2 linked regions of the Caenorhabditis elegans genome follow. The protein of the gene in region 2 interacts with the protein of the main gene of each other region in a pairwise test. Each region holds a gene or a part of one and is shown on either strand. Other genes may lie near its edges.

Region 1 (5,424 bases), on a different chromosome or scaffold from region 2:
ACTACAAACTACAGATTTAGAACTAGCAGACCTAAGCTTCTTGCTCAAATTTGAAAATTTCCGAAAAAAATTGCAATTGTTTTTCCAAATTTCCCGTTTTTCGAGAATTTGAACAATTTTTCCCGCGTTTTCTGCACAATTTTGACGTTTTTGGGTTACTGTAGCGCCAAAAGTACGCAAACACCGAGTCTCTCACGCGAAAATGCACAGAATCTCAAAATCATCGGAAAAAACAGTCCCAGGGGTGAAATGAGGCGCTGAACTTGAATTTGACAGTTAAAATTATCAAAAAATACCTGAAAACATTGAAAATTCAATTTTTTTAGTTTTTTCTTTCAAAATTTCTTTTTCGGAAGATATATTCGCCTGGAAATAAATTATAGGGCTATATATTAAATTTCTAACATTTTTCTTATGTTTCCTGCTCAAATTTGTCTTTTGGGGGGTACTGTAGCCCCAAAAGTCCGCAAACACCGCACACCTTACGCGAAAATGCACAGAATCTCAAAATCCTCTGAAAAAAGTGTTCTAGGGGTGAAATGAGGTGCTGAGATCGAATTTCAATGTGAAAAATTATGAAAATCGTTGGATTTTGAGAAATTTTTTTGGTTTTTCGAAAAAAACCTGCACCTCCCCACCCCCCCCCCCCCCCCTCTTTCAGGGGGTACCCCTTAATCTATTCCCACTCATTACTACATCTTTTTTTTGCTCTCATTTTCTCTGCGTCTCTCACTTTCACATACTATCTCGTCGGGAGATTAGTGTGAAGAAGACGCTACCCTCAGAGAGCAGGAAATGCGCGGAATTTATTGGAAAATGTGTGTGCTCTCTCGATGAGGGAAATGGAGTGAAGAAAGGGGGGGGAGGAAATTGAGATAACATGTCAAAACTCGTGATATGATATAGCCAATAACATTGGTGAAAATTATAAGCCAGAAAAAAACATCGCAAAAAAAAATTTTTTTTAGCAATTTTTCCCGAAAATCTTTATTTATTCAATTTTCATCAATTTTTCATGCTAAAATTCGAACTCAGCACCTAATTTTACCCCTAATCCATCCTTTTCCGACAACTTTCGGTTTCTGTGCATTCTGTCGTAAGGTCCGGTGTTTGCGTACTTTTGGGGTTACCGTACCCCCGAAAAGTTGAGTTTTTGGCAAAATGTTTTTTTCTCGAAAATCTTTATTTTATCAAGATTTTTCCTGATTTTCATGTTAAAATTCAAACTCAGCACCTTATTTTATCCATACCACACCTGTTTCCGACATTTTTGAGATTCTGTGTTACCGTACCCCGCAAGACTTAAAAATTGAGCTAGAGACTCGGAAACAAGACTTTGGCTGGAAAATTTGACAAAAAATTCGTAGGGAACTTCAATTTTGATTTAAAAAAGTTTTTTTGGAATTTCGGGAAAAAAAAATTTTAGAAAATTTTTTTTCCAAACTTATTTTCTTTATTTTTCATTTTTCACTTTCTCAATTTTTCATCTAAAAATTCAAATTCAGGTCTTGATTTTACCCCTACCACGTCTTTTCCGGCAATTTTGAGTTTCTGTGCATTTTGTCGCAAGGTCCGGTGTTCGCGTACTTTTGAACCTACAGTACCCCCGCAATACTCGAAAATTGATCTAGAAACTCGGTAAAAAAGGCTTCGGCTGTAAAATTTGACGAAAAAATTGTTGAGAAGTTAAATTTTGGAAAAAAAAATTATTTTTGGAATTTCGGTGAAAAAAAATTTTTTTTTGGAATTTTTCAAGAACAAAAGTTTTGAAAATTTTCTGAATATTTTTTCCATGATCCCCTTTTTTGAGTTGTTTTTCAACGCAATTTTCTCTGCACTCTCTTCACTCTCTCATCCACTCCATTCATCATTTTTTCCAGCGCGCATGTCTGGAACAGAGATTCACTTTTATTTTTCCTTTTTTCTTTTTTTTTTTTTGCTCCAAAACTTCTTTTCCACTACTTGAAATTTTAAGTCTTAAAAATTTCAGCACAAAATGAGCGCATTTGAATGTCGAAAATGCGATGATTTTCCGATTGAGGAGAACACGGAGGACGAGGATGATGACGAGTGTCCGACGGTTATTCGGAGGGTAGGTTTTTTCAGGAAAACCGTTGATTTTTAAAGGTTTTAACTATAAAAATCAAATTCAGCAGCGTTTTTTTGCTCCTAAACCGGTTTTTTTGCAAAAAGCAACAAAAAAATTAAAAATTTTTTTTTTTTCAAAACTCGAAATTTTTCTCGAAAACCAGCAACTTTTAAAAATTTTCATATCAAAATTCAAATTCAGCGCCACTTTCTACCCCATTCCCAGCTTTTTCAGCCAATTTTAATTTTCTGTGCATTTTGTCGTAAGGTATGGTGCATCGATTTGTGTTTGCGTACTTTTGAGGCTACAGTAATTCCAAAAAACTTAAAATTGAGCCAGAAGTTTAGAGAAAAACTTATTAAGGGTGAAAAATTACGGAGAATCCGAATTTCTTAATAAAAATTGTGAAAAATTTCAAATTTCTACAAATTTTCCAGTAAAAAATTTTCTCGGCAAAAAAACGCAACTCATTTTTGGAATTTTTCACACCGAATTTCATTTTCAACACAATTTTTTACCCCTCAAACACCATTTTAAGTCAATTTCAAAGCATTCTGCATTTTGTCGTAAGGTGCAGTGTTTGCGTACTTCTGGAGCTACAGTAACCCAAAAAATTTCAAAAATGAGCTAGAAGCTCGAAAAAAAAAAGTTTCCAGGGTAAAAAATGTCGGGAACTCGATTTTCATATCGAAAAACCAAAAAGAAGCCTCTAAAACCTCCAAATTTCCTGAATTTTTTTCCAGTCCTACTCAGCCGACTGGCTGCACAACGACAATTCCTCTGGAGGTGATGACGATTCAGAAGAGGATTCTGACGCCGAATTTCTGGTTCATCCGTGTCTTCGGAGTATTATTAAATCGAAATCCGCTTACGCAGTTCCCCGTAACTCTGATGACGTTGCAGCGGCGGCAGCGATGAAAAATAACAGAATTAAGCCGAGCAAAACAAGCTTTGAGGTGAGCTGGATGAGGAGGTGGTGGTGAAGATGTAGTTTGTAGTCTTTGTAGTTTTTGTAGTTTGTAGTTTATAGTTTGTAGTCCGTCAGACCAATGTTTTTTAGTTTAAAATTGATTGAGTCTGCCATTTGCAGGTTCATAGTTTTGTGTGGTTAGATCTGTTATTTCGAAGTTGGTAATTTATAGTTTGTAGTTTATGGTTTGTAGTTTATAATTCGTAGTTTGTAGTTTGTAGTTTGTAGTCTGTAGTGTATAGTCCATCAGGCCAAAATTTGCAAGTTTAAAATTGATTGAGTCTGTCATATGTAGGTTAATAGTTTTGTTTGGCTAGATCTGCTATTTTGAAGTCAGAGATTTATAGTTGTAGTTTGTAGTTTGTAGTTTGTAGTTTGTAGTTTGTAGTTTCTAGTTTGTAGTTTGTAGTTTATAGTTTGTAGTTTATAACTTGTAGTTTGTAGTTTGTAGTTTGTAGTTTATAGTTTGTAGTCCGTCAGACCAATATTTGCCAGTTTCAAAATGATTTGATCTGCCAAATTTAAATTTTTTGTATATATTTTACAATTTATAGTTTATAGTTTGTAGTTTGTAGTCTAGCAGACCAGAACACCATTTTTCAGATTTCCTTATCAAAAATGATGGAATCAACGAGTAAAAGCATAGCGGAAGAAGCAGAATACTCAGTAGCCGACCTACTTCCGACACTTGATGAAAAATGGCCGGACCCTGAGGAAGAAAATGAAAATTTGAAGTCAAAGCGGCGGAAATCCAATATTATGAGGTGAAAATTCGAATTCTCCATCGTTTTTCACATGTTACCCGTTTTTTCTGGGTCTCTATCGTTAATTTTGAGACTTTTGGGGTACGGTAGCCCCAAAAGTCCGCAAACACCGTGAGCGTGACGCAAAAATGCACAGAAAAACTCCGATTTTGCTGAAAAAGTAGAGATATGGGTAGAAAATCATGCTGATATTGAGTTTTGGCATGAAAATTGTTGAAAAATCATTTTTATATCGCAAAAAAGGAACATTTTCCCTGTTAATCCAAATTTTCCCCCTTTGAAACATAAAAATTCGAATTCCTCACCATTTTTCACTTCTAGAATACTTTTTTTTGGAGTCCTAGCGTAAAATTTGAAAATTTGAGGTTACTGTAGCTTGAAAAGTGCGCAAACACCCAGCATCTTACGACAAATTGCAGAAAATCTTAAAATCGGCTGAAAAGGCGGGTTTAGGGGTAAAAAATGACGCTGAGCGTGAATTTTGATATGAAAAATGTTGAAAATATCTAGATTTTGTGAAAATTTGGAAAATTTGGTTCAGTATTGGTCTGCCAAAGTCCAGCATACTCTAAACTCAAATTTCCAGGTACTCCCCGAGCCTATGTGACTCTGATCTATCACTGAACCTCCATGATAAGGATTCTGAAGATGATGAGGATCGTATTCTAAACCGCCCGTCCGGATGTTGGTCCTCGCCGCCCAACTTCTTCGATGAAACATTTCGCGGTGTTTCTCCAATGAATCGTTAGTTTGTTTACTGTAGTTTGTAGTCTAGGCTTTACTATAAACTACAAAAATTGGTTGTGAAAAAATGTTTTGAAATATCAAAAAAAAAAAAGAAAAAAAATCGAATTTTTTCCCAAAAATTTCAAACGAAATCAAATTTTGACGTTAAAATTCAGATTCCTCGCATTTTTTCACCCTAGACCCATTTTTCCTGGTGTTTCCTGCTAAATTTTGATCATTTTGGGGTACTGTAGCCCCAATAGTACGCAAGTACGCAAACACCGAGCCCCTCACGCGAAAATGCACAGTTTTCTGGAATTGCGTAAAAAAGTTGGGGTAGGGGTGAAAAATGGTGCTGGAAACGAATTTAATAGTGAAAATGTTTTAAAATCGGCAGAAAATATAAAAATTTGAAGAAAATTTTAAAAGTTGTTTTTCAAAAAAAATTTTATCCAATTGTTTTGCACAAAATCAAATTATTAAGTGAAAATTCAGATTCCTCGAATTTTTTCACTCTAGCACCATTTTCCCCCGTGTTCTCTGCTCAATTTTGACCATTTTGGGTTACTGTAGCTCGAAAAGTACGCAAACACCGAGCCCCTCACGAGAAAATGCACAGTTTTCTACAATTGCGTAAAAAAGTTGGGGTAAGAGTAAAAAATGGCGCTGAAAACGAATTTTATAGTGAAAATGCTCGAAAATCAGCGGAAAATCCAGAAATTTTGAATTTTTTGAAATAAAAAAGTTTGAAGTTAAAAAAAAATTTCCAGAAAAGTGTTGGTCAGCACCGGATCTCGAGGATATTGTGTTCAAGACATGCAATGTGTTGTATAATTATGACGTCATCGGCGGCGGGAAAATTCCAATTTTGAGGG
Region 2 (7,757 bases):
TTGCTTCAATCTTTCAATTGCATTCGGAGTCAAAAGTGGTGTTTCTAGTAGAACTTTATAAAAGAGAGCTTCTTTTTCCATATTTCTTTCCAACATTGCGTCAAGCATCTTGCACATTGCTTGATCATATCGATCCAATCTTTGTGCTTGGGTAAGTCCTTCTTGTCCAGCGATCATTTCCTTCATGAAGAGAGCACAGTTCGAGTAGCCTTGATATTGTGCGTAAAGTTCGCAGAGCCATAGAAGCGCCAAATCATTTCTCTTTTTATGATCAGCCAAAACGAATTCTATCAACTTTTCTTCAAATGGAGTACAATCTTCCCAGAATCTAGTCGTCAGCCGGACAACTAATTTCTGATACATCAACCTTGCTCCACCAGCAACAACTCGCCGTTCTGCTTGAAGAACTGATTCATAAGCTAATTCAAACATCTCCGCAGCTTCTTTATCGTCAAATACAACGGCTTCTTCTACCAAGTTGAACGCCTTTTTCGCTTTTTGAATGACCGGAAGAGTGTTAATTTCTTGAAGTGACTGTTTGACAATCTGGGCTGGAACGCGATTGCTCATATTCGGTTCGTGGATTGGTGTTTGGGCGATTGCCATTCCTTCACTTCTTGCCTTATTCCTTGCTTCATATTCTTTTTTCCTTTGTTGCTGCAACCACTCATATCCCGGTCCAATTTCTTTGTTCGTCATTTGAACAGCCATTAGTTCTGATAATTCTTGACGATTCGGTTCTGTTCCAGCGTTTGCTATTGGTGTGTATGATGATGCGAATGCAGCTGGCATTTCTGACGGTAGAGTGTAGAGTGAGATCTTGACAAGATTCATGACAGTTTCATGATTCAGGCATTCCATAATAAATTTGGCTGTCATATCGATGGCTTCAGTTCTCGCATCCTTTGCATTTACAGTGCTAGTGGATGGTCCTGCTTCGTCATCGTCATCATCATCATCTTCGAATATTTGATTTTGAATCTTGGGACGTTTGGCAACTGGTTCTGCAGGATGCTGTGGTGGCCGTGGCGGTGCTATTTTTTGAATCAGTTCAGGTGGAATCGACTGTTGTACTTCTCTGGGTGAAGCTCCCAGATAGTTTGTTAACATTGTGGTGATCTTTTGCTGGAGAGGAACAGATGCAGGCAATTTCAAAAAACGTAGCAAATTATATTTGAATGATTTTCTCAGAAATTTGACTTGTCCCTTGCTGAGCATTGGTGGTACATTTGAATGAAGAGCTTTTATAACATCGAAGACACGTGGCAACGCATTCTCCCATTGAGGTCGACAACGAGTAATCATACAGAGTGATTCAATTACTGTTATAAGATTTTGTGATGTTGCTTCCGCGACTGTTGTTTGCTTTAGTAAAGCACTGAAATTCTCCTCGGCTTCCAACTGGGTTTTATGATAGGATAGGAATCTATGACTTCGTGGAACATCTGATAGAGAAATCCTATTGAATCTAGTATTTGCCTCTCTTGCCCAGCTTATGTTGCTACCAGTGGCCAACTCTCTTGGCTTTGGAGATTGACACAAAATAAGAGCTTCCAGAAACTTTACGGTAACAGTTCGGACTCCTTCGTGATCATCGCTAACCAGCATACAAATTCGATTCTTGAGCAAATTAAAAGCATCCCAGCAGCTCTCCGCGTTGTCATTTTTATCCATGATTGCGAATTCAAGAACGATCGGATATAAGTTTGTTGATGCAACGACAACTCGTTTTATAACACTTTCATATCGTTTAATAGACTTATTGGGAATAAGATAAAAACTATATCTTTCGACAGTTTTGTTACATAACGTGAAGTCTTTAGCGCTTGCTTTGAGAAGAAAATCGACGAGAAGGCATAGAATCCTTGAGTCGTTCAGCTCTGCGAATTCCAGCATTTCGGTTAGAAAATTGTCGAGAATACTGATTGAGAGACTCGGGTCGATGAGCAGATGCATTGCCTGTAATTAAATAATTGAATATCGACTAGTCATTTCCCGGTAGATTTTTGTTTTAGTTCTTTGAAAAACTGTTCTTTTTATTTCCAAAAACACAACAAAAAGTAATTAAAATTTTGGTAGAAAACCATTTGTAAAAACTTACTGTAGAAAGAGAAAGAAGTTTCTTTTCGATAGTCTCCGCATCTCGAGCTTCTTTTAAAGCCTCTCCAATTCGTTCACTCGCCGTTTCATTCTCCTCGTTCAATCCCTGGATGTAGTCCATCTGAAATATTTAACGGTAACTTCAGAAAAAATGAAATGAGGGCCGGCAATTGCAATAGACAAGAATAATTGTATGAAATGACATAAATAACAATTAACAACCTTGTAATTATAAGTTATTTAAAGAAATTTCTAACTGTAAATGACGGAAATATATAATTATTCAAATTTAAGAAAATTCAACGAAAAATAGAAATTGAAAAACTTAGTGCGCGCCAAGTGTCAGTTGCTGGCGCACTTCGCGATTTGTTGGCGCGTTTCTCGTGCATGAATTGGAACCTCCAAAACTGCATTTCAGACCATTTTTTCATTGCGAATTCTCTGAAATTTCAGTGATTTTTTTTTCTATTTTCGACATGAATCCCGTGGAACCCGCGGATTTAGTCGATATTAGAGAACAACTACATTCTGGCTGTCACATAGTTCAGGCGAAGGTAATATTAAGATAAAATCTTCTATTATTAGAAATGCTCACACATTTTTCAGGGGTTCAGTTTTCTTGCCAATCGAATTATCAACAAAGAACTAGATGCGAAAGATGAGAAAAAATATCGGAAGCTGCTATTCGATTGCTTTGTCGTGGAGGAAGACATACTATTCAGATTTCTGATTGACACTTTGCCAATTCTTCTTATTAGAGGTAATCGTACTTTTTTTTTGCAATCTAAAGCAACTTTTTCAGGATCAAACTCACCGGAGACTCTATGGGAAGAGTTTACACTTCGTGCACCGAGAATACGTCGAATTCAAAGAGCTTTTGGAATGATGATAAGCCATTGTAAACCGTCATTTTCGTGAGTTCAAAAAGTGTATTCCTTTGTATATGGTAAATATTTTTCAGAAAATTTCTGGACGTGGCAGCAAGAATTGACAGTGAAATCTTGACTAAAATCTGCATTAGCAGCGAGTTTGGATACAACTTTTATCAATATATCGCAGTGCTTTCGTTTACTGGATTGCTATCGGATAGTCAGAAAAGGCTAGTAGGAAATTGTGGATTGGCCCAAAATGTGTTCTTAAAACATCAACCAGATTTGTACCCAACTGGGCACGAGAGTGAACATGACCCGGAATCTTTTTTGAGAGGTAAAAATATTTAATTGTTTGATTTCTAACTAAATAATTAAATTTTCAGAATGTTCCGCAGAAGATCTTCTCAGTCATCCTCTACATAATATTGATCCATTTCAACGTCATAAACTGATGCGAGACAGACCGGCCGTTCTCGAAAGTAAAAATCTTCCAAATCACATTCTCTACTTACCTTACGCGGTTATGCTCAGTCAGTACAAACAAGTCATTGTAAAACTTGTTGAGCAATCAAAAATGGCCGATCATAAACTTGCTTCGGAGAATCGAGTCAGTGGATGCAGGGATACATATTCATTTGCTGCTCCCGATTTTTCCGATCAAGATCTGACTTTTGAAACATTCATGTATCACACGATAGCTACTGGAAAAGTCACGTCTTTCATCAAATACGTTGAGAACTATCACGAATCGCTAGGAATCCTTCAAAAAGCTCATCTTCTTCCAGCACTTACTGTTTTTCTGACTCATTCATCTACGAATCCATCTCTTCAAGAAAGAATTTGCAAGTTAATAGCCTTGTTCGTCAAAAAAGCTCCAGAAAATGCGGATCAATTCGTGCTCTATTTCATTACATTATACCAGAAACCATTCTTTCCAATACACCGGCACCTGCTTCTCGAAACTATCAAGGATCTATTTGTTAATCGAGTGAGTAAATTCAAAAGTTCTCAAGAAATGTAAAATAATTATTTTTTTTCAGTTCGTCATAAGTTCTGCCTTCGGCTTCCTCAAAATCACTGCTTGTTTAGAAGGTGATCGTGTAAGATCATTGGAATGCCTAGCAGAGATCATTCCAAAATTCACACAGTTGTTCGAACCAATGACTAGTCTCTGCGCCTTGAAGAGGGATGATGGGTCCGACGAATCATTTTATGCGGAGCTTCATTTATTGAAGGAGTGCTGCAAAGTAACGTAAGTTTTGTATCATTTCTGAAATAAACAAAAATCACATTTCCTGAAATTTCTCACTTCAACTAAAGAATTTGCAGGGAAGACAACGAAAAAGCTCTTTCAAAGATCAGCAATTCATTAAAAGAATGTACAGGACCTCGGTTGGCTGCCATTGTGGATGCTGTTACCGATTTGATCAAGTGTGGAGTTCTTGATACAATAGGCGCAAGATCCATGCTTACAAAAAGAGCCAGGCAAAGAGGTTGCGAGCAATCATTAGGAACGTATTGTCGGTTATTATCAACATCCACTATCCCTGAAGAAAACGAGGAACAGGCTCGGATTTTGAGAATGTCTTGTATCGAGGAGCTAGCAAATCTCAAACAAAACGATAATCACACAGTTGCTTCAGAAGCGTGGAGATCGCTAGGAGCATTTGAATTGGATGAACTCGAAAAAGGACTGAAAATAAATCCTGCACAATTTGCCACTCTATTCGTCAAATTAAGAAAAGAAGTTCAAAATGGATTTATCGACTTCCTGAGTCTGTGTTTGCACAAAGAAGTTGAATCGTACCAACGACCACTATACAATACTAGTGCTCAGGATGTCAATGTTTCACCGTTGCTCACAAAAGTGGATACCTTCAAAGATAAATTGATTATTGAAAATAAGAATGAACCATGGTTCTGGTCAGCTTCACTCTCATTATCTGCATCTATTCTTCAGCTCACAGGCCCTACCAATCGGGCTCAAGCATCTGTGCGCCTCCTTCAATCCTGTTTGGAAAATGTTGTTCCAGCAAGTTCACACGATGAAATGATTCGATTGATGGCTGGATGGAGAATATGTATCAGAGAAGTGCTCCACGTGCTCACTGAGTCGAAAAGTAACGATATTCTCTGGGCAAGAGATCAGATCATCAATACTGGGCGAACAAGTTTAACGAACAAGGCTGAGTCAGTTGACAATATAATGATGATGCTCACAGCTTTGGCAGATGCTATCGATCAACAGCTTAGAAACATCGAGAATGATGAACAAGTTGAAGAAGTATCCAAGGCTCAGAATCCGTGGTTGTTATCCGTTTATGAGTTTGTTGCTACCCGCTTGCCGAAAAATTTGAAGGAGAAACGAGTTGCGAAAAATGAGCCAATATATCAATTGATAACCCATTCAAATAAGTCTTCCCTACTCACTGCCATATTCTGTTTGCGTCTTCTGTATTTAAACCCAAGTGTTGCTGCATTTTACAATGATGAAGATGTTGGACTCACTGATGATCGGATGCTTGTCAGTTTATTGCAAGATTCCACGAAAGAGCTTAAGAAAGAGGAAATTCCTGATCGAAAAATGATGTGGGTGACTGCGGAGGCTTACGGTGCTAGTCAGATGAGTGCGAAAGCGTTTGAAGTTGCGTACAATATAGTTATTGACGAGAAGACAGAAAAGTATGAAGAAACGGAGCTGGTTGATGATGAAAGTATTGAAAAGTTCTTTAATGGATTGATTTCCTCTCCAAAAAAAGATCTTAAAGAAATAGAACAGAATAATAAGAAAGTTCTTGAAAAACTTTGGAATAATGGAAACAATGAAGTGAGGAGAAAAATCTACGAAGGATTAGCTGAGTTAGCTCTAATCTCTGGAACAGGTCGCAGCAAAATGGTCATACCAGCTGGAAAGTTACCTGAAGGCATATTGAAAGGAATTCTTCAGTTGTTCGATAAGAAAATAAATGTCAAACCGGAAACTCTTCGAAACATCATCCGCTGTCTTGTTAATCACAGAAGAAATGATGGACGATTCCTTCCACCAATTGACTGGATGAAGTTCTTAGAAAGATCGGAATGGACAAAAGCTGATACGGATGCTCGTTTGGCGATGATTACGTTGGCATGTGAACAAAATATCTCAGAAGTAATTTTCCATTTTTCGAGTTCTTTGACTGTGAAGGAACTTTTGGTACTTTCTGAAAATCTACGATCGGTTTCAAAATTGTTCCCTAGAAAGGAGTTTACGATGATTCTTGTTCAAATGGCCGTTCAAGCGAGAAAAGAAGATGTTGAAACATCGAAAAAGCTTTCAATGGCTCTATCAGATCTACAAAAAGATTCAACTGTTCATAACTTTTTGATGAAATGTCTTCCGAAACTGTTTGACATTTCTGGAATTACTGATCCAATTCTGAACTCGATAAAAGATCCAGACGCATTCGGAGGTCAAATTTCCAACTGCTTTGATGTATGGTTGGAAGCTCGCAGAGGTGAAAAGATGAACATCAGAAGAATTTGTGACATTTTTGGCAAGGAGGAGAGTAATTCGAAGAAGAATGCGATTTGTGCATTGATCTCTCACGAATCAAGAACACTTTCAAGGAAGATGAGATTTGAAAAGCTTCTCGACGTGATTACTGCAAGCCGCATCGCAAGAACATTCGGCGGATCTATGCAATCATTCTTTTCCATCTTTCTTTCAATCATCGTCAGCAACAATGATACTGTCGAAATTCCATTGTGTTGGTTTGAAAATCAAGAACATGTTCCTGCGATGATGATCGCTGCTAAGCAACCATTTTACAAATGGATTGTTGAAGCTCCAGAAATGAAATCCAATGCTCACCATGTGAGTTTATTTTCAATAGAATTTTTATAATGTATCGCAAAACTCATATTTTCAGTTCGGGTCATTTTTGTCGTATTATGTGGATGGGCCGGAAAAACAATATTACGAATATTGGCACACAGAAGGGGCAACAGGTGCTGCACTCATATTTAATTGAATTTATTTATTTAAATGTATATTTTCAGACTTGCTCGCCATGATTGTCTCTGCCTACCCAAATGAGACCTTCCCGAACCTTCTTACTCAAACCGATGAGTTCTGGAAATCTCTTCTTGGTATTGCAGATGTTGGAAAATGATTATTCCTTTTCTCTCAACGATCTCCTTATTTATTATTAGTTATTGTTTTAAATACTATCAAATGTTATATGAGTATTTCGACTGGTGTCTCCTATTTTGTTCGGTTACAATTGCAATATACATATTTATTTTGTCACGATTTTTATTTATTTTGATTTTTCAAACGGTATTTCTGCCGATATCTACTTGTGTACCGTTAGTTTTTTTGTACCTTCAAAAAACGTATTTTTAGAAGAATGTCGGCAGTTGAACAACATATTCCCAACGACCAATTCCTGCAAAAGCTGACGGCATTTTATAGAGATTCAAAGATTCGAGGACCAAAAAGTGTATATGTTACAATGAAGCCATGTAAGTTCGAAAAATCATAACTCCTAAAAAATATAAAAGAATTTTTAAAAAATTATAAAAATTTAATGAAACGTTTTCAGATGACGGTCGAACCAAAGCGATGCCAAAAGGAAGCACGTTCAAAGAGGGTGACGAAATTTCATGTATCTTTCGAGCCAAATGGGGAAGCAAAAAGATTGCCACAGAGGTTAGTAGACCGAATAAAACTAAACGAATTTATAAAAATTTGCAACAATAAAAACGAGCTAATTCTTTTTGAAAAAAACAATTTAAGAATTTTTA

The links.
Region 1: the proteins of F25G6.9 (region 2) and jip-1 interact in a two-hybrid assay, tested with the Caenorhabditis elegans proteins (one large-scale study listed by BioGRID).

The regions. Positions count from the first base shown.
Region 1 is NC_003280.10:1,325,005-1,330,428, forward strand, and holds the start of jip-1 (PID domain-containing protein), read left to right. Parts: upstream 1-1,990; 5' UTR 1,991-1,996; coding exon 1,997-2,092; intron 2,093-2,832; coding exon 2,833-3,045; intron 3,046-3,662; coding exon 3,663-3,823; intron 3,824-4,409; coding exon 4,410-4,567; intron 4,568-5,319; coding exon 5,320-5,424.
Region 2 is NC_003283.11:8,564,775-8,572,531, reverse strand, and holds F25G6.9 (Signal recognition particle 14 kDa protein), read left to right. Parts: upstream 1-2,531; 5' UTR 2,532-2,576; coding exon 2,577-2,654; intron 2,655-2,706; coding exon 2,707-2,860; intron 2,861-2,902; coding exon 2,903-3,014; intron 3,015-3,061; coding exon 3,062-3,306; intron 3,307-3,355; coding exon 3,356-3,960; intron 3,961-4,012; coding exon 4,013-4,224; intron 4,225-4,301; coding exon 4,302-6,825; intron 6,826-6,880; coding exon 6,881-6,959; intron 6,960-7,010; coding exon 7,011-7,123; 3' UTR 7,124-7,257; downstream 7,258-7,757. Other genes in the region: symk-1 (DUF3453 domain-containing protein), read right to left, coding at 1-1,959, 2,102-2,221; F25G6.8 (Signal recognition particle 14 kDa protein), read left to right, coding at 7,361-7,475, 7,556-7,662.